4 linked regions of the Coturnix japonica genome follow. The protein of the gene in region 1 interacts with the protein of each later gene in a pairwise test. Links are inferred from orthologs where the notes say so. Each region holds a gene or a part of one and is shown in the gene's direction. Other genes may lie near its edges. The genes, in order: CEP126, HMOX2, NUDT21 and YAE1.

Evidence for each region.
Region 2: the proteins of CEP126 (region 1) and HMOX2 interact in a two-hybrid assay, tested with the Homo sapiens proteins (2 studies listed by BioGRID and IntAct). The link is inferred for Coturnix japonica from reciprocal best matches to the Homo sapiens genes CEP126 and HMOX2.
Region 3: the proteins of CEP126 (region 1) and NUDT21 interact in a two-hybrid assay, tested with the Homo sapiens proteins (2 studies listed by BioGRID and IntAct). The link is inferred for Coturnix japonica from reciprocal best matches to the Homo sapiens genes CEP126 and NUDT21.
Region 4: the proteins of CEP126 (region 1) and YAE1 interact in a two-hybrid assay, tested with the Homo sapiens proteins (2 studies listed by BioGRID and IntAct). The link is inferred for Coturnix japonica from reciprocal best matches to the Homo sapiens genes CEP126 and YAE1.

The regions. Positions count from the first base shown.
Region 1 is NC_029516.1:163,548,799-163,553,447, reverse strand, and holds the start of CEP126 (centrosomal protein of 126 kDa), read left to right. Parts: upstream 1-1,536; 5' UTR 1,537-1,659; coding exon 1,660-1,784; intron 1,785-2,424; coding exon 2,425-2,550; intron 2,551-4,649. UniProt on the Homo sapiens protein: Participates in cytokinesis. Necessary for microtubules and mitotic spindle organization. Involved in primary cilium formation.
Region 2 is NC_029529.1:10,968,001-10,972,636, reverse strand, and holds the start of HMOX2 (heme oxygenase 2), read left to right. Parts: upstream 1-1,543; 5' UTR 1,544-1,595; coding exon 1,596-1,642; intron 1,643-1,699; exon of another isoform or gene 1,700-1,806; intron 1,807-3,571; coding exon 3,572-3,682; intron 3,683-4,636. Other genes in the region: structure-specific endonuclease subunit SLX4, read left to right, coding at 1-238.
Region 3 is NC_029526.1:522,919-527,503, reverse strand, and holds the start of NUDT21 (cleavage and polyadenylation specificity factor subunit 5), read left to right. Parts: upstream 1-1,513; 5' UTR 1,514-1,585; coding exon 1,586-1,701; intron 1,702-2,672; coding exon 2,673-2,873; intron 2,874-4,071; coding exon 4,072-4,135; intron 4,136-4,585. Other genes in the region: prolyl 3-hydroxylase OGFOD1, read right to left, coding at 305-405, 472-518, 978-1,123, 1,207-1,360. UniProt on the Homo sapiens protein: Component of the cleavage factor Im (CFIm) complex that functions as an activator of the pre-mRNA 3'-end cleavage and polyadenylation processing required for the maturation of pre-mRNA into functional mRNAs.
Region 4 is NC_029517.1:76,799,536-76,803,953, reverse strand, and holds the start of YAE1 (protein YAE1 homolog), read left to right. Parts: upstream 1-1,345; 5' UTR 1,346-1,446; exon of another isoform or gene 1,447-1,510; intron 1,511-1,571; exon of another isoform or gene 1,572-1,682; intron 1,683-2,822; 5' UTR 2,823-2,916; coding exon 2,917-3,141; intron 3,142-4,073; coding exon 4,074-4,195; intron 4,196-4,418. UniProt on the Homo sapiens protein: The complex LTO1:YAE1 functions as a target specific adapter that probably recruits apo-ABCE1 to the cytosolic iron-sulfur protein assembly (CIA) complex machinery. May be required for biogenesis of the large ribosomal subunit and initiation of translation.

The DNA.
Region 1 (4,649 bases):
ATTTTAGCTTATGTCCAAACCTCATTTTGCTCCACACCTCTGGGATATGTCACATCTGAATTACTTTCAGAACAAACTCTTGAGTGTCGCCTCAAACAAGGACAGCCAACGTCCTACATTGGTCTCAGTGCTGTGTTCACATCCACCCCTGTCCAAACCTGACATACACTGGAAATTGCCTTTACTACAGTGAGATTTAAAAGCAGTTGCAAGTGGGGGATAAATTCAGTGTTAAATCCACATATTATTCCATTTTTTAGTGCAATGCTTTGTTTCAAAATCAGTAGTTACAGGGCAGTCAGTGCCCTTAACTGGCCCATTCCTCAGAAGGGAGCATTCACATGGAAGTTCTCTGTGACATTTTTAACAACTTCTGTTAGTCGGGATCCAATGTAATCAAATGTTTAATCTGTTCTGGAATACTTTATAGCCTTCCAAGATAGGAATTCTGGAATGTTACCAGTGCACCAGTTGATGCTTGCTTACAAAGATGCAGGTTACGATCCATGCTACAGTCTTGGGGAGTTAAGGTGAAAAGGTTTTCTTTGCTGACTATATGTGACACTAAGGTTTTCACTCCTCTTCCTATACACAGAAGTAGGAAGGGATGGCAAATTTCAGGAAGGAATGGTTACAATGGGCAGATCCTTGGCTGAACTCCTCCCCTACACAGTTAAAATGAAACCTGGAAGAAAGCTAAAGGGCATTAGCAGATTAATCCCCCCTGGAACAAGAAGGAAAGAAAAATGTTCCTGCAGCAGCATAGCTGTGCTCCAGCCTTCAAATCAGATTAGTAATAAATTCAGTCTGTCCCACAAAGATTTTAAAGTTGATCTTTATCCTTTACTGGAATATCTGTCTCCAGCTCACATTAAAAGTTATGAAACTTCTTCCAAATCAGCTGCCAGAGCGGGATCTTCCATTTTGTAACCATTTGAGATCGAGCTGTTTGCTAGAATAACCATCCAGCTCTGCAGTACATGGTGCTCAGCTTATTCACCAAGAAAAGCAGCTAATGACCTGGAGGAGGCTACAGAGTGGGGCTGTGAAGAAGAACAAAGAGGAAAAGGTGTTAGAAGAGAGAAAGAAAGATTTGAAGACCATTCTTAATACTGAATTTAAGAAGAATTCAGTTACGAGTTTTCCTGGATAAGATAAAAATATACAGTAAGACTGAGAAGTTTAAATTCTTTCTAAGCATGACATAAGCTCAAATTTGGTAGCTGTTTTACAGCTGTGATTCAGTCCCATTTGCATGACTCTTTTCTCGGTGAAGTCTTTTATGGTATCATTTACAGGCTGAGAGCTGGGGCTGTTCAGCCTGAAGAAGGCTCTGGGGAGACCTGAGAGCAGCCTTTCAGTATCTAAAGGGGGGCTGAAAGAAATAAGGGGACAGACACTTTATCAGGGTCTCTTTTGATGGGACAAAGGGAAATGGTTTCAAACTAAGAGACGAGATTTAGACGTAGGAGATGAATCTTAGTTAGGAGATTTAGTTTTTTGTGGTAATAGCAGTGAGGCACTGGGACAGCTCGCCCGCTCCGCTCCGAAGCCCAACCGAGGCGGCTCCCGGCAAACCGCCGCCCCTCGGCCCGTCCCATCGGCCGCTCCCCGCCGCCCCGCCCCGTTGCGAAGGAAGCGGCGTCTCCCGTTGCTACGATGGCGGCGGTGCGGCCACAGGAGCCGGGCCGCTCCATGGAGCCCGGCGGGACGGACGGCGCTGCGCTGTGGAGGCGGCACCTCCAGCGCTCGGCGGGACGCGGGGCGGGCGCGGAGCTGAGCGCGTATCCTTCCGCGAGCGGCGGAACCGCCGCCCTCAGGAACTGCCTGACCGGGAATGGCCGCCCGCTCCTCGCCACACGGCGGGGTGGGCCCTGTGGGGCCGGGGGTGCGGGGCGGCTCTGTGACAGTGCGGCAGGGTGGCAGCCCACATTCCCAGCCCTAGTTTTTGATGGTTTTGATGGTACGGGGCACAGGGGGCACCATTTGTATGGTAAGAGGCACGGGGTGCCCAGAGTGGTGGTGCCCCGTCCATGCAGACACTACTGGTCAGGCTGGAAAGGGCTCTGAGCACCTGATGGAGCTGTAGGTGTTCACTGCAGGGGAGATGGACCAGGTGGTCTTTAGGTGTCCCATCCAATTCAATTTTGTGATCCTGTGATGTGTTAAATTTACTGTAAACAGTAAAATGTAGCTACGTTATTATTTTTTTTTTCCAGATGAACAGTGAATGAATTATGGCCATAATACGTATCTCTGGGAGCAACTGTTGTGTAATTCACCAAACAGTCTATCAGTGTCTTGAATGTGATGGGATAAAGTTTGCCCTTTGCTCACAAAGGCACATGAAGGTCCATTCAGCAGCTTCTGCATCTGTCATGAGCTGCTGAGACACGGCCAGCACTGTCCTTAACACAGAGCCAGGGACAGAGCTGTAGCAGTGCCCTTGGGATGGGATTTAGAAGAAGAACGCTGGGCACTGAAAGAAGATCAAAGGCTGCATCGGAGCAGAGCAAGGAAGTACTTGATGGAGACAAATAGAAGAAGGAGGTGAGTAACAAGGGCTGTTCTGTGGGAGGTTAGAAAAAGCTGAGACAGAAGTTTGAGACAGGTCAGTGTGTTTCTGCAATGTGCACGTTCACTTTGCTGAGCAGCCTCACTGCTTTTCCCAGAGGAATTGAACCTGGGCATAAAAAATTCACTAAACCTAAAATAAATTATAAGGGAACAATATTCTGAGTTCTACTTTGATGGACCACATACACACGTTGTTGCTCTGACCTTGCAGACAGTCTTTATAGGCAGCAGATAGTATTTATACTGCTGTTTTAGCTCCACAGATGATTGACATACTGTGCTGTCAGCACACATTATGGAACACAAAGAAAAATGGATGAGGAAGTACCACTTGGGAGCGATTAAAGACCCGCAGCCTTTGCAGATAATATACCAAGCCTCAGCTGAAAGATTAAATATCTTCTTTAGTTTTATGGAACGGCAGCACTGTAACACTACACATCTCAGCTGAACACTATTTATCATGTTACCTGTCTTGAAATATTATTTGCTGATGGAAAAGCAAACAGAGACAACCTGCATATTTTTGACAGACTGGAATAGCTAAACTAACACTTGCTGATATGTAAATACATTTCCATATTCATTTCAGTATGGCCTTAGGAGTATTATACAGTATATAGGAGTATTATACAGGGCCAAATTACCCAGGTGAGCCAGTTAAAAAAATTAGAACGTTATTTCCATTTGTGATAATTGAGAATAAGCATCATAAGTGGTTCAGATGGAAATCTGTGAGGACAAGTATTCTGCTAAATGTAAATAAGGCAGCTGTCAAATTCCAAACCAAGAGCCATTGTGGCTATGTCTCAAATCTGCTTGTGAGCCAAGAACGATTATCTTTGTAACATGCTGTGGAGGTGCTAGCTATGATGACTCTCAAGGACTGTGTGACTCCCTTAAGCTTCGAGTTCTCACCTGGCAGCACCTTAAATATGCTCTGACAGGGCTTATATGCTTATAGGCAAGCATCAGAAGTTATTCTTGGCACTGCTACCTTATGTTCTCAAAACTGGAATTTCCTTTCATTATTTTTCTTCTTTCAACATATGCAGCATAAATGGGTACAGTGTGAAATCCTGCAGTCTTATTGCTACTTCTAACCTTCACGCAGAATGGCTGAGGTTGGAAGAGAGCACTGGAGGCCATCTAATCCACCCCCTGCTCAGGTTGCCTCAGAAGCAGGGTGCTCAGGAGCACATCCAGGTGCCTTTGGAAGGAGCAGACTCCACAGCCTCTCTGGGCAGCCTATGCCAGTGCTCCATCACCTGCACAGCACAGAAGTGCTTCTGGTGTTCAGATGGACCCTGCTGTGTTCCACTTTGTGACCACTGTCTCTTGTCCTGGCACTGGACACCACCAAAAAGAGTCTGACTCTTCCTCTTCGCACCATCCCTTCAGGTATTACTGCACATTGATGACATCCCCCAGAGCCTCCTCATCTACAGGCTCAACAGGCCCTACTCACTCAGCCTCTCCTCACAGGAGAGGTACCCCAGTCCCCTCATTATCCTGGAGGCACGCCACTGAACTCTCTGCAGTATGTTCATGTCTCTCGTGTACTGCAGAGTCCAGCACTTTACTGCAGGTGTGACCTCACTAATGCCAAGTAGAGGAGAAGGATCACCTCCTTCACCCTGCTGGCAGTACTCTGTCTAACGCTACACTGTTAGGGGTCTTTGCTGCAGAGGAGCATTTCTGGCTCACGTTCAGTTTAGTGCTCAGCAGGACCCCCAGGACTTTTTCTTCTATTCTCCTTTTCACCGTGATGCAACCCAGCATATACTTCTGCCTGGGGTTGTTTGTCCACAGATGCAGGGCTCTGCACTTCTTATCAAACTTCATGAGATTTTTGTTAGCCCATTTCTCCAGCCTGCTGAGATCCTTCTGGATGGCAGCAGGACCCTCTGGCATATCAGCCACTCCTTCCAGGTTAGTGTCATTTGCAGCCTTGCTTTGAGTACACTTTTCTCCATCAACCAGATCATTTGTGAAGATGTTGAACAGGTCTGGACCCAGTACTGACCCCTAGGATAAAAAGGTTAGTTTCCTCCAGCCGGACTTTTTGCCAC
Region 2 (4,636 bases), on another chromosome or scaffold:
GGAGGCAGTGAGGAGCTACATCCGCTCAAACCCAGCCCTGTACGAGAGGATTCTCTTCTATGAACCTATTGAGCTGGCTGACCTACATGCAGAGTTGAAACTGAATGGTATTAAGATTTCCAAGGCAAAGCTGCTGGACTTCTTAGATGCTCAGTGCATCACCTTCACCACAGCTGGAGCCCGGAAAGAGAAGGAACAGAAGAGAAAAGGGAGCAAAAAAAAGAGGAAACGATACTGAATAGATCCCACTCCTCTATCCTGAAAATTTCCTACATGGAGGCCTTCCTCCTAAGGTGGAAACCCTATTCCAGGCTGGTGCTGGCGGAGGTGGTGTGATCAGTGGGTGCACTGCTCCTCCTTGTGGCCTGCTGTCCAGATGACACGCTGGAGAATGGATCTGAACTGAGCTTCAGCTCTCAGCCCTCCTCTGAGCTGCACAAACTCCTCTTTCAAGGAGCCTTTTTACATTCCCTGAGTTTCATCCTGTGCATTCTCTTCTCTTACCATTTTAGCAGGTTTTAGATCCCCAGCATCTCTTCTTGTTGGTGCTTCTGAGGTGGTTGCTTCCTCCAGTGGTGCTTGCCATGGTATTTGCCCCAGCCTTGGCCTGAACCCTTCATGTTCCAGTACTGACTGCAATAACCCATGTGTGTTTCACAAGTGGCTGCAGCACAGTGCAGGTGTTTTTCTGCTCTATTTGTGGTGGCTCCCCGAAGTGCTCTGTGACACCAGATGTCAGGTAGAAGCCATTAAGGTTTGTACGTTCAGTTGCGTGTGTTCACTTACATGCAGACATTGGTGCTAAAGACATTACCAGCTCCGTTTTCTGAGCACTGTTTTACCTTATCATTGTAGCCTGTGATCCCAACAGTGGCTTTTTTAAGGACAATGTTGTAGTGACCAATGGATCTCTCCAGCAGTTCTCATGTCCTGATCTTTGTGGACCTGTTTCATTTCCAAACTGAACCGATCCTTGGTTGGAAACTGTCTGGGTCTCTTGGGGAAGCCTCGGACACTAAATATTCACCTTATTTCACCTTATTTATTAACTTTTACAACACCTTTGGATTTTGCTCTGAGTCTGCAGATTCTCACTCAGCAAAACAGGCGCAATAATCAAAAGAAGCAAAAGCTTGATTTGAATGTATTTATGTATTTGGAACGTCTTTATTATTTTGTTTGATCCAGCACTGCCTCGGTTTTATTTGATTTATATACAATAAATAATTCGGAAGGAAATAATACTAAGCTATAAGTGATGTCTCCCGAGGGACTTTTAGGGGTGTTTCTAAGCAGAAACGTTGGGTTTGGATGAGAGCAGGAGGAGCTGTGCACAATGTGGAGTTCACATAGTCTGTGTGAAGAGGCGACATGGAAATGTATTGCTATTGACCGAAGTGATAAGGATTGACCTATGTGATAAGGATTGACCACGCTGCCGTCGGCGCATGCGCAATATCAAACCGAGGGGGCGGGGCTTGCCGTGACGCCCCGTGTCCCCATTGGCTGCCGGTGAGGCGGGGCAGAGCGGAAGCTCCACCCCTCGCTGTGACGTACAGCCTTCTCCTCCAATCACAGCTCTCCCCGCGGGGTAAATGCGGCCCGGCAGCTGCGGCCCTTTGTCATACCGAGCGGGCGGCGGGTGAGTGTGCGCCGCGTCTCCATGGCAACAAGGCCGGGCCGGGGTCGCGCTGAGGTGGCGGCGGGCCGGGCTGCTGGGCCGCAATAGGGCTGAGGCCTTGCTGAGGCCTTGGGCTTGTCCTGGGGTGGTCGAGGTGTCTGTCTGGTCCTTCCTAGCGCTGCCCGGTGGGTGCTGGGCCCGGTGGGTGCTGGGCCCGCTGGGTGGGCTGGTTGCGGCCTGGTGCTGAGGGTGGGGGTGGGTCGGGGCCTTGTTTGGGCCTCCCCGTGTCCATCCTGTGTTACCTCCATCAGCCTCAGCGCTGGGAGCTGCGGGGTGCGAGGATGCTCCGGGCTGCTCTAATGTCTGTGTGTGTCACTGCGCTGCCCTCACAGCCCATAGGAGAACATAACCCCTGAAGGCAGGGCTGGACAAGTGAGCTGTGCTCTCTATAGGTGCTTCATTCCTCAGTCGTTGATGTGCTGGGCTGCAGCTCTGGGAGATAAACAGTGTTTGATTGGGCTTGGAGCGTGGCTTAAATCCAGGTGGAGCCTTAAATCCAGGTGGGATCTGGTAACGCAGCCATTTGTTCTGTGGGCTCCTTGGTCATGACCTCAATCAAAGATCCCATCTCTGGGGTCTGCCTTCCCCTTCAGAGATGCTTTAAAGCAAGGAGCTCAGCCGTGTGTGTTTGGGGAATGCCTTGGAGCTGTGTGCTGGTTGAATAGCAGAGATGAACTCTGTGTCGAGTGCTTGTCCTGTCAGTTACTGAACTCATGAGAGTGCCCAAGCAAAGCCAGGACTTCCACTCTTGTTTCCTTACTGCAGCAGTGTCTCTTGGATTCCTTTAGAAGGCATAGAATTATTTATTCTGCCTGCACTGAGAGCAATAGCTGTGCATGTTGAGTGTGAAGCTTGCTGTGTAGGGGGAAAACAAACTGCTGGCTGGATGAGATGGAGGTATTTTATAGGAGGGGCCGAGTGCTGTTATTGGGAAAGAAATATTTGGAGCTGAGCTGTTCTATACCAAATCTTCTCCAGCCCTGCTGTCCTGACTCCTGTGGCTGCTGGATCCCTCCCAGGCAGGCTGCTGGTGACTGTGTTTACTCTGAATGTCAGCCAGGAGCCTCATAGCAAATGCAGCAGTGCTCCAGCCCATGAAGCACAAGCAGGCAGCTGCTGGGAGCTCTGTATGTGTAGGTCACTGCCTCTCTCAGAGGAGTGGAGTGCTCCAAGTGAGCATCGCTTTGACCAGCAGCTGCATCGTGGGACAGAGCTCTGCAGGGTGTCCAGGGCTCCTGAGAGGTTTAGAAGTAGGTGAGGAACTGGAGGGTGGTTAATTTATAACTAGCATCCTTTGCTTTTGCATCTCATGAGTGTGGAGCCACTGACTGTTCTGCCAGCTCATGCTCTGTATGAACTTGCTTGGCCTGCTCTCAACTGCTTGTCTGATCTGCTCTCCTCCTGTCCCCAGATGCAGCCTACCAGGGAGGCCTGAACCCAGCACTGGGAGGGGAGCCGGCTCCTTTACAGCCATGGTTTGCTGAAGAGCCAGCAGGAAGCTTAGCTCCTTGCTCATCTGCCAAGGCTGCCTGTAATTTGGGGGAGTAATCAGCACAAAGCTGATTACAGCTCCATTTTATAAATGGGATGCCTGGATTTATGGCCAAGCCAGAGTATTCAGCTGGTGTAAGCCAAGTGTCTTGCTCCTGGCTCTGGGTACTTCTTGTGTGTGCTGTTATATCGTATGAGAAAGAAAATCTACCTCTGTTTTGGAATGTTATCTGCTCTGTTGCAGGGAAGGCTTCTATAAAAACATCAGGTGGCTGCCCCTCACCACCCTGCATGGTGGTGCAGCTGCAGGGCTCCCTGTTGGTCTGCTCTGTGTTTCTTCCCCATTGCTCTTGTTAAGGCAGCTTCCCTCTAAAATCCCTCTCTAATTTTGCCTTTCAGAGTCTCTGATCTCCAGAACAAACCAGCAATGCCGTCAGTTATGGAGAGCTCAGAAGGAGGAGATGAAGGGGAAAGCTTACGCTATGAGGATGTGGAAGATGACAATGTCAGGTGGGTGCTGCTGGCACTGTCTGGTAACGTGGCACAGAGCTGGGTTTGGGCAGGGCATATCAAGCTCAAGTTCAGTGATCTCCTTGTTCATACGTGGTCTTCTCCAGCTGAAAACCAGTCCAGCCAAGACTGAGGCTGCCCTGCAGTTGGGGTTAGATGTTCCTACAGCATAGGAACAAATGCAAAGGCTGCAAAGGAACAGAGGCTGTTCCTGTAAGGTGATGTACGCAGAGCAAGTTCTGCAGAACTTCTTCAAAGGTCTGAACAGAATGGTTGGTTATCCCTCCAAACAACAAATAGCTGTGTGCTGTTATACACAGTGCAGCTGCTCTCTAAACTGTGTTTTATAGGGAAAATTTTCCTTATATGAGAATGGTGAGTTGGGTGGTTCCAGAATACTGAAGTGAGCTGATTGCTCTTTGACTTGACAGGCTCAGCTTCATGGAGGTTACCACTCCCTGGCTTTCCTGTTGTGTTCAGCCTGTTAAATGCATGAGTATGGAGCATTCAAAACATCTTTTTTACAGCTGATATAAACATGTTACCTGTTGCAAACCAGCCATAAAAACAGGGTTAGGTGCACTGTGGCATAATTTTGTGGGTGTAGGTGTTGATACCTGTACTGAATTCCAGGTAAGTGCAGTAGCTGTGATCCAAGATAATAAGTTTTTAGAAGGAGAGCTTGTGGAAACATGCAGAACCAGCAGAATTCAGGAGAAATACATGGTTTTTGTTTTTGTTTTTTTCCCTTTAAGAGTGTTCATGCCCTATTTTGTCACTGGGCTCTCATCTTCAGTGTTTGCCCAGGGAGGCTGTGGATGCCCCATCCCTGGGGGCATTCAAGGCCAGGCTGAATGTGGCTCTGGGCAGCCTGAGCTGGTGGTTGGTGACCATGCACACAGCAGGGGGGTTTGAAACCAGATGATCTTTGAGGTCCTTTTCAACCCAGGCCAT
Region 3 (4,585 bases), on another chromosome or scaffold:
GAAGACTTACAAGCAGTACAAGTGTTCCTTGCCTGCCATAGCAACGTGCATGCAAGGGGTGAGATAGCCTGGATGGAACAGCCACCATCCAGGGTTGGAATACCAGCCTTGGGCCCTGCTGCAGCTGCAAGCAGCATGACCACAGTAATGGGGAAGGGTCAGGAGGCGTTAGGGACAGGCTGTGGTTCACTGGGTGGTGGGCTCAGCCCCAAGCTCCAGAGCTGAGGGAGCGCTAGGACGCTGCTCTCAGACTCGGGGTTTGGGTGGTGCCATGTGGAGTCAGGAGGCTGGTGGGCAGACTGACCTGTGCTCTCATACTTGGCGCAGGAGATGTCAATGGAGGGCTCCAGCTCAATGTGGGTAACAGCCTCCAGCCACGCTCGCAGGGTCCCGCTCAGCGCCCGCCTGGGGAGCAAAGCACAGGGTGAGGCAGGCCCAGGATGTGCTGCCCCGTGGACCCTGCTGCCTTACCTCAGTGCACTGACGTGGGGCTCCGGCCTGGCCCCCAGCTCCTCGGACTGCGGCAGCATGGGGAGAGATGGAGAAAAGCATTGAAGAAGGTGCTGAAGGAGACCTCACGGCTCTGCAACCCCTAAAAGGAGGTTGTGGTGAGGATGGGGTTGGCCTCTGCTCCCAGGGGACAGTGATAAGGTGAGAGCGATGGCCTCGTGTTCTGTCAGAGGGTCAGGGTGGCCATTGGGGAACATCTGCGCTCTGAAAGAGCAATGAGGCAACGGCACAGCTCAACGGGGAGGGGGGGGGTGTCAACCATCGCTGGGGTGTCCCAGAGTGGTGTTGCTGTGGCACTGCGGGCTGCAGGCAGTGCGCACTCTGTGCTCTATGTCGCTCAGTGCACTCTGTGCTCTATGTCGCTCAGTGCACTCTGTGCTCTATGTCGCTCAGTGCACTCTGTGCTCTATGTCGCTCAGTGCACTCTGTGCTCCCTGTCGCTCAGCCCCGCTCCCGTCCCGTCCCACCTGGTGCACTGTCAGCAGGTCGTTCCGTCTCTCCCTGTATCCCAGGCCCAGCAGCTCATCGCCCAGCGCCGCCGCGAATGCCGGGCTGGCCAAGAGGCCGCGCAACACGCCGTGCCGGAACGGGGCCCGCTCCACCGCTACGGCCTCTGCGGGGACAAAGCGGGCGGTCAGTTCGGCAGGCGGCAGTAGGATGAAAGCCGCTAGACCCCCCCTAGGGCCCATCCCGTACCGTGCCGGAGCGGCTCCCCGCCGTCCCAGGCCGCTGCCGCCCGCTCCCGTAGCTCCACATCACCGATGGCTGCACACAGCTCGGCCTCCACCTCCCGCCGCCCGCGCTTCTCCACACCGCGCCCGCCCGCCGCTCCGCGCCGCTTGGCCCCCATGCCGCCGCCGCACACCGAACTACCAATCCCAGCCGTCCCTGCGTGTGCCGAGCCAATCAGAGAGCGTGGGGGGCGGGGAGAGGGGTAGGGCGCCCTACGATTGGCCAGGAGGGACGACTCAGCGGCGGGCGCCGTCGGAAGTGGAAGGCGGGCGCTTCCGGCAGAGCGGGGCCGCTTGGCCCGCCGGGAGTTGTATGGCGGATCGACTTCCCGCCGCCTCCCGCCATGTCCGTGGTGCCGCCCAACCGCTCGCAGACCGGCTGGCCCCGCGGGGTGAACCAGTTCGGGAACAAGTACATCCAGCAGACTAAGCCGCTGACCTTGGAGAGGACCATCAACCTGTGAGGGCCGCGCTGGGGGCGGGAGGAACCGGCTGGAACCGCTCGGGGGTCGGAGCGGGAGGGGAGCGGTGCGTGATAGTGATAGTGACAGTGATAGTGATAGTGATAGTGATAGTGATAGTGATAGTGATAGCAATAGTGATAGTGATAGCAATAGTGAGAGTCCGGAACGGCGGGGAGAAAAGGGGCCTCACAGCGCTGCGGGAACAACCAGCCGGGGGGACACACACGGCCCCGCCATCAAAGGCTGCACAGGCACCATCCGCTGCTCGGCCACCATCGGGGATGGAGCAGCCCGAACTCTGGGCGGCCGCTGAGTAAAGAATGTTCCCTCTTTTAGTCTTAATTCACTTCATCTTATCGCTGCCTGTGTAAAAAATCACTCTCCCTATGGACCTGCTACAACAGCTCCGTACCCTTCCTATGCTGGGGGACACAAATTCTCCAGGTGGGGTCTCGTGAGGACAGAGCAAAGGGGACAGTCCCTTTTCTCTTCGTGTTGCCATCCCTCAGTTGATGCAGCCTTTCTCTTGCCTTTCCAGGCTGCAGCACACTGTCTCATGTCTCATTTTTCATCCATCAGAAGCCCCAAGACCTCTGCAGGGCTGCTCTTAGTGAAGGCTTAAAGGGACAAGAGAGGAGCTTCCTCTCCCTTTTCTCCAGGCTGCGGAGTCAAAGCAGGTGGCTGCAGAGTAGCTGTAGATGCTTCTGGTTGTGTTTGCCTGTTTCTGGGTTGGCACCATGACAACGTATCCCACCGGCATGACTTCCTGCCCTCATGAGCCATGGTGCAGCCCTTGGCATGGCATGGGGTGTGCAGTGCAGCATGCAACCCAGACCTTGTAGTCCTTTGCAATGAGTGAGTTTCTGCTCCCTCGAGTACAGAAGGCTCAGCTGCAGGGTGAACACTGCGTGCTAGAGGTGTCAATTTAGCTTTCTTATTATGTAGTAATACTTTTTTTCCCCTTTAGGTATCCTCTCACCAATTACACATTTGGCACAAAGGAGCCCCTTTATGAGAAGGACAGTTCAGTGGCTGCTCGGTTCCAGCGCATGAGAGAAGAGTTTGACAAGATTGGCATGAGGCGGACAGTGGAAGGAGTTCTGATAGTGCACGAGCACCGGCTGCCCCACGTGTTATTACTGCAGCTGGGGACGACGTTTTTCAAGCTGTAAGTGCCTGCTTCTTGAAAGCACCTTCTTAGTCCAACCAGAAAATTACAGACCTCTTGAAATGTACATATCGCAAAGTAAGATGTGGCCAACTCTGCTTGGTGTTTTTAATGAGATTCATTTGTTCCAAGCGCATGGTTTGTGAGAACTGTTTTTAAAATGATGAAATTTCCCTCTAAAATGTATTTATCTGACTCTACTCGTGGGTAGTGGAGAGTTGCCTTGGTTCTAAAGTCTCTGGAAATCTTTGTTGCACTCTGGTAGGTTCCTGTTGGAAGCCCTGCTGGTAGTCAGGGTTTGGTCTTACACTGTGCAAGCTGTTATGCTTAAATACACTTATGCTACGGCTGCAAAAATGGCAAACCCTGGGAAATGAGTAGTGGTTATGAATTTACAAACTGCTGGGTCAGCTGGGTATAAGAGGGACAGGAATCTCAATTTGTGAGGGAAGTGCTTCAATTATTCCAGTGTTATCACAACTGGAAGGAAGTTTTGGTCATATGATTATAGTGGTGGTCACGCTTGTTTTCTTATTTTAAAATGGTTCGACTTGGGACAGGTGATTCTCCTTGTATTCTTGGTTTTATGTTTTTAACATTTGCAGTGTTTGGTCTCAGGTGAGGAGTAAAATTATCTCTATATCCAGATTCTTTTTTGATATGGGGCATGTATGTAGATGAAATAGGCACATTGTTTGCCTTTGCAAACAACTATGACGAGAATGTATCTTCATTTTTCTCATTATCCTTGCATGAAATGCAGGATAATTCTCCACTTGAGTTTTATGCTTCCTGCACACGTCACTAAGTACTGCTTTTGAGATTAGAACAAGCACAGCTGGTGTTTACAACCCCTTCTTCAACTTCAGTGCTTTTCTATTATTGTTAAAACTTAACCTTCTAAGTGTCTCTATCATTATTATGTATATTGTTATACTTCATCCCACTGAAGTTATTATTGTTGGCCTGTTTTGCTTTGTTTTGTTTTTTAAGGGGCACGTAGCAGCCATTAGAGATGGTCTTGGTGAAATCTACCCTATTGTCTTCAGATTGGGCATGGTTAGATTTAGAACCTCAAATGCAAAAACCTTGAGTGAATTTGTAGCTGCAAGCATGGAAATGTGTCCAAACTTACCTGTGAAAGTCTGCTAACACTGTAAAACATAACTCTAGCTTTAATCATTGATTATTTTAACAGACCTGGTGGTGAACTCAATCCAGGAGAAGATGAGGTAGAAGGGCTCAAACGCTTAATGACAGAGGTCTGTTTTCTTTTGTTATGTCGCAATACTAGAATGTTGTGGAATGTTGAATGATGTTAGAGTTAGTAGAATAGCCAAAGAACTGCAGCAGTCTCCTCGTCACTTGTCATTTTAATGCTGTAAAATGTTCTCAGGTCACTAACAACAAAGTATTACAGTAAGCTCTCGCTTATCCTCATGAGAGTGTAACCCAGTGGTCTGTCTTCCCCCCGAGTCCTGTGTTCATGTGCAACTTGTGTTTTGGGCTGTCATCAGATGTGCAGCAGGATACACAGCTGAGCACAGTGTGAGGATGACAACTTGTTTTTGAGCCAGTTTTCCCCACGTTCTTAACAACTTTATCAAAACGATTGCTGTCAGGTAGTGTCACTGCATTTCCTTCTTCTCATTGGTCTTATGGCACTCAGTTTGGCTGAATGTAGTGTGCAATTCAGAATGTCCTGTCAGGTG
Region 4 (4,418 bases), on another chromosome or scaffold:
AGATGAGCGTGTGTGATACTGATCTGAATGGCAGCAATCCTTTATCAGAAGCATTATGCACAGTTATAACTGTAAAGGTTTTTACATTCATATACTTTACTTTTGGATATCTCTGCTGGCTGACTGCTTAATGGCAGCACTTAACACTAAGATCAAACTGATAAAAATCCTTCATAGTCTCATAGTCTCGTGCGGGTTGGAAGGGACCTAAAAGATCACCGAGTCCAACCCCCCGGGATTCGGGCCTCTGTGTAGCAGAGCGGCAGTTCTACCACTTGCGCCACAGGGGGGATTCGAACCCAACCCTAAGCTGTTGCAACGCGGCATTTCTACCACTGCGCCACCGGGAAACACAATTCCTAGTCATCTCCAAGAATGCCTTAACAATCCTAAGCTCTGCACAATTGTGTAATGGCCCCCTGAAAACTCCCCCCCACACCCTCCAGGTGAGCAGAGAGTAACTGCTGAGCCAAGCATTTATGGTTCTAAGGTACCTTTGTATGCCAGATATCTGACTGAAATTATCCAGATTTTAATATTAGAAATGGCAATGAATCACAAATCAATTCCTTGTTTATTTTTCACACTGTGGGGGGGGGATAACTCTTCTTATATACATATTCTGCAGAAATGCCAGAACAGTTCTGTAGCCTGTGAAATATTGTTCATGTGTTTTAATCCTCTGGTATGTGTCATTGCAAAACATCACCATAATACCCAGATGTTGCTTTATGTAGAACACACACAGGTTAGGAAAACGCCCCCACTCTGAGGCACTACACCTCACTCTCAAGCCCTGCTAGTAGTCATGTCAAGGCCGTCAGCATACAATTAACTTGTCTTCAGCAAGTACACTTCATAATCCAATAGTGCTGCTCTGTTTACACAATATGAGTCACTAAATTATCTGCTTCTAAAAGAAAGGGATGGGAATATGAGCCTTCATCATTATTCCTCATATGCACAAGGATTTGTCCTAAACAGACGTGTGTAGAATTATCAACCATGGTAAAATTAAGGCATTTAAACTGAGATAATCTGAATATGGGAAACTCACACTGACTCTGAGGTATGACTTATACACCTTTCCTAGAATATCAAGCAGCTGAGGGTAAAGAATAAGGTGATAAGCAAGAAGTAGGGCCGGTGCAGCAGCCCCGAGCAGGAGCACCCACATTCAGTCCTGCCATTACAACCACGCTCGCACTCCCTCCATGGGGCAAGGTCCTCCCTCCCCGGCCCGCCTCCTTGCGGAAGCTGTAAGTCTATGCCCTTACTCAAGATGGCTGCCGGCGTCCTGTGACTCAGACGGACTTGGAAGTCACGGTGCTGCTGATTAAGATGGCGGCTTTTTACGGGCCGCATCCGGGGCAGCGAAGTTAGCGTGCCCTCAGTCAAGATGGCGGCCCCCTGCGAGCGGAACAGCGCCGTGACTCGGCGGCCGTGGTGAGGGCTGAGGGCGGCGGGGACTCAGATGGCGCCGGCGAGGGGGGATTCTGGCTGCCGACAGGTCGGAAGAGGGATAGATCTTCTCGGTCCTGCAGTTTGTGGGGAGCTGCGGCGCCAGCCCGGGCTGTGAAATGGCGGGTTGTGGCCTGGCCGAGGGGCCTCTGCCTGGAGTCCCCCGGGCCAGGCTGTGCCTCCTCCCGTAGGGCCCTCAGGTTCCTCCTGCTGGTCTCCAGGTGTGCCGGGACGTGCTGGCATTGGGGGATTGCGGGCCTTAAATGCTGTTGGTATCTTCTGCAGTCAGTATCACTCTGAAATCTTATCATAGAGAACCAGGTGTACAGCTCTCTCATCTATCCAGCTCACTTTTCTTATGACATACCGAACAGTTTCTTCCTTCCCGCACCTGCTACCTTACACCATTAATTGCTGCATTTTGTTCTCCCTTCTCTGCTCTTTGTGTAGGGGCTATTTGTGAAACTCACTTTGGAGCTAATAAGCTGTCACTTAATAGAGATGGTTTAAGGAAATATAACATCTGGTAGCAAGTGCTGTCTTGCTGAATATCTTGAAAAATAATCTCTCAAGCCTGAGGTACTGTTGTAAAGTTGTATTTACTTGGATGTTTTCACCACTTTTTGATTGGACATTGGGAGGGATAAGCTGATTAAGCAGTCAGTTCACATTAGTGAACTTTGTGTATAAGAAGAACTGCAGTTCTTGGACCAGTTGTTTAACTGCTTTAATGCTTTCCAAAAGACTCTGTGTAATGGTACTGGAAATTCTGGAAGATTTGCTTAAGATAAAAATTGGATATGATGAACCCAGAAGCGTGATTTCACCACACTTCCTTGTATCCACCATTCTGTGGGTTGTAAGAATTTGCTCCAGTTAACTGTGAATGGCCTCTTAAGGTCTTATCAGTTCCTAAGATGAAGTAATCACATTATTTATTCATCTCTTTACATCAGAACTTGCTAACTAATTATTAAAAAAAAAAAAAAAAAAAGTAATATTTTTATTCAGGATTTACAAGCATTAAGCATCTGGCAGAGTTAGGAAACTGAAGATCAAAGGTGCAACTCATCATCAGTTGTCAAGATCACAATATTGCAGGCAATTAGATATGCATATAATTTAATGCACTGCTTAGAAGCTGCATGGGACTATTTGTTGGCTGCTATCAAAATTTTATAGCTCTGGATAAGTGTTTCTGTCTGCTGTTCAAGTTACTAGCAACATATAGAAATGCTAATTTGGTGCACTTCTGTTTGTTGCTGACATAAGAAGCAAAGAAGGGAAGAAATTAGTCTTAAGTTGTCCTTGTAAATCACACAAGGTGCTTTACTGGTAATAATTTCTGTCTCCTTTGACAGATGAGCTCCAGTGAGGAATAGCATCCAGTTTTCACATGGAAATGAATGTACAGGTTGAATAATCATCCCCTGATACGGCTTCTCTTCAGAACTCATGTTTTTTACTTTTATTTCTAATCTGACACTTAGCTGGGAGACTTCTGAGAGTTTCTCAGTATTTGCTTTAGGCCATAAACAAAAGTTAAGTGTCATCACTGCTGCTATGTCCTGGGTACAAGTTGTAGCTAGTCGATCCAATGAGGACATATTTGATGAAGATGCAGATGAGATGTATCCAGTACAGAAAGAATGGAATAACACCATGAAAAAAAGATTGAAGGTATTTCTCTAAGCATGATTTTTATAGTCTTTTAAAATATTTTAGGTTTACCAGTAACATATCTTGCTAAAAATATGGCTGATTTAAATGAGAAAACTAAGAATGGCTGTATGAAAGTTATTGTGGCTTGGTTTCTTCTGAGTGTTAAAAAAAATTTAAGAGGAAGTTACTATCTTCAGTAGCCTGTCAGGACAAAGTAATGTTTTACCAAAAAAGATGTTGACTCCCTCTACACAACTATGTGCATTTCTGAATGGCAGTGCTAAATTCTCATGTAACCTACTTGCTTCATACTTGTAGGTTAATTGATGCTAACAAAGAATAGAGGATATTTGTTGGTGTTTTTTTGTTGGGTTTGTTTGTTTGTTTTTTTAATATTTGGTGTGAACTACTTCAGGTCTGAGTAGTTTTTTGGCTTATTTATTATCTTAGTGAAAAATACATTTTATGAAAGCAGAGAACAAAACAAATACATAAACTTGGGTTTCTCTGACAGATGTTTTCATTCAAACTGGGCCCACTAGGGCTTATCTTGTGGGTGAAGAACATAAATGTATGGTAATGTGATTAGAGGAGAAAGAAATAAATTTCAATTCTCCAAGGAAACTTTGTTAAGGGAGTTGGTCAGCACAAAAGTAAAAGTGCTTTCCTGTAGACAAGTCTTTATTTTCTGACTTAGCTGGAGGTTTGTTTAGAAATGAACTGCATGTTAACAGATCAGCAGCATTAACAGTAAATTATAATGCACTGTAAAAAATGTGTTTTGCTTTAGCAGTGGTGTAGTTGAGTGCAGTGTTCAAATTAAAAAAAAAAAAAAAAAAAAAAACTTGGATTTAAGAGACTAAGTGCTTAAGGTTTTTTATTGTTGTAGAAGTGTTTGTAGGTCCAATTCTGCAGGCTGTGAAAAGTGTGTTTTACCACTTCTGTTATAGGAGGGCTATAGAGATGGTGTTGAGGCTGGGAAAGAGCTTGCAATTCAGGAAGGCTTCAATCAAGGTTATAGACAAGGTGCTGAGCTGATGGTTACGTGTGGTCAATTCAAAGGGACCCTGAAGTAAGTTACAAACCTCTTAAGAGTCTGTCCGCGTGAAAGGTATGTGTGGAAGATGCACGTGCATATGTGGTTGTGCTTGGGTTTTTGTTGTTGTTCATTTTTTAATTTTAAAAGTGCTTTATAAGTCTATCCGAAGCAAGCAGCATGAGAAGTCTTAGCTCAGGTTTTGAATACAGGGAATACAAGTGCAGGAAGGCTTATACTCCCAATGAGCAATGCAGGC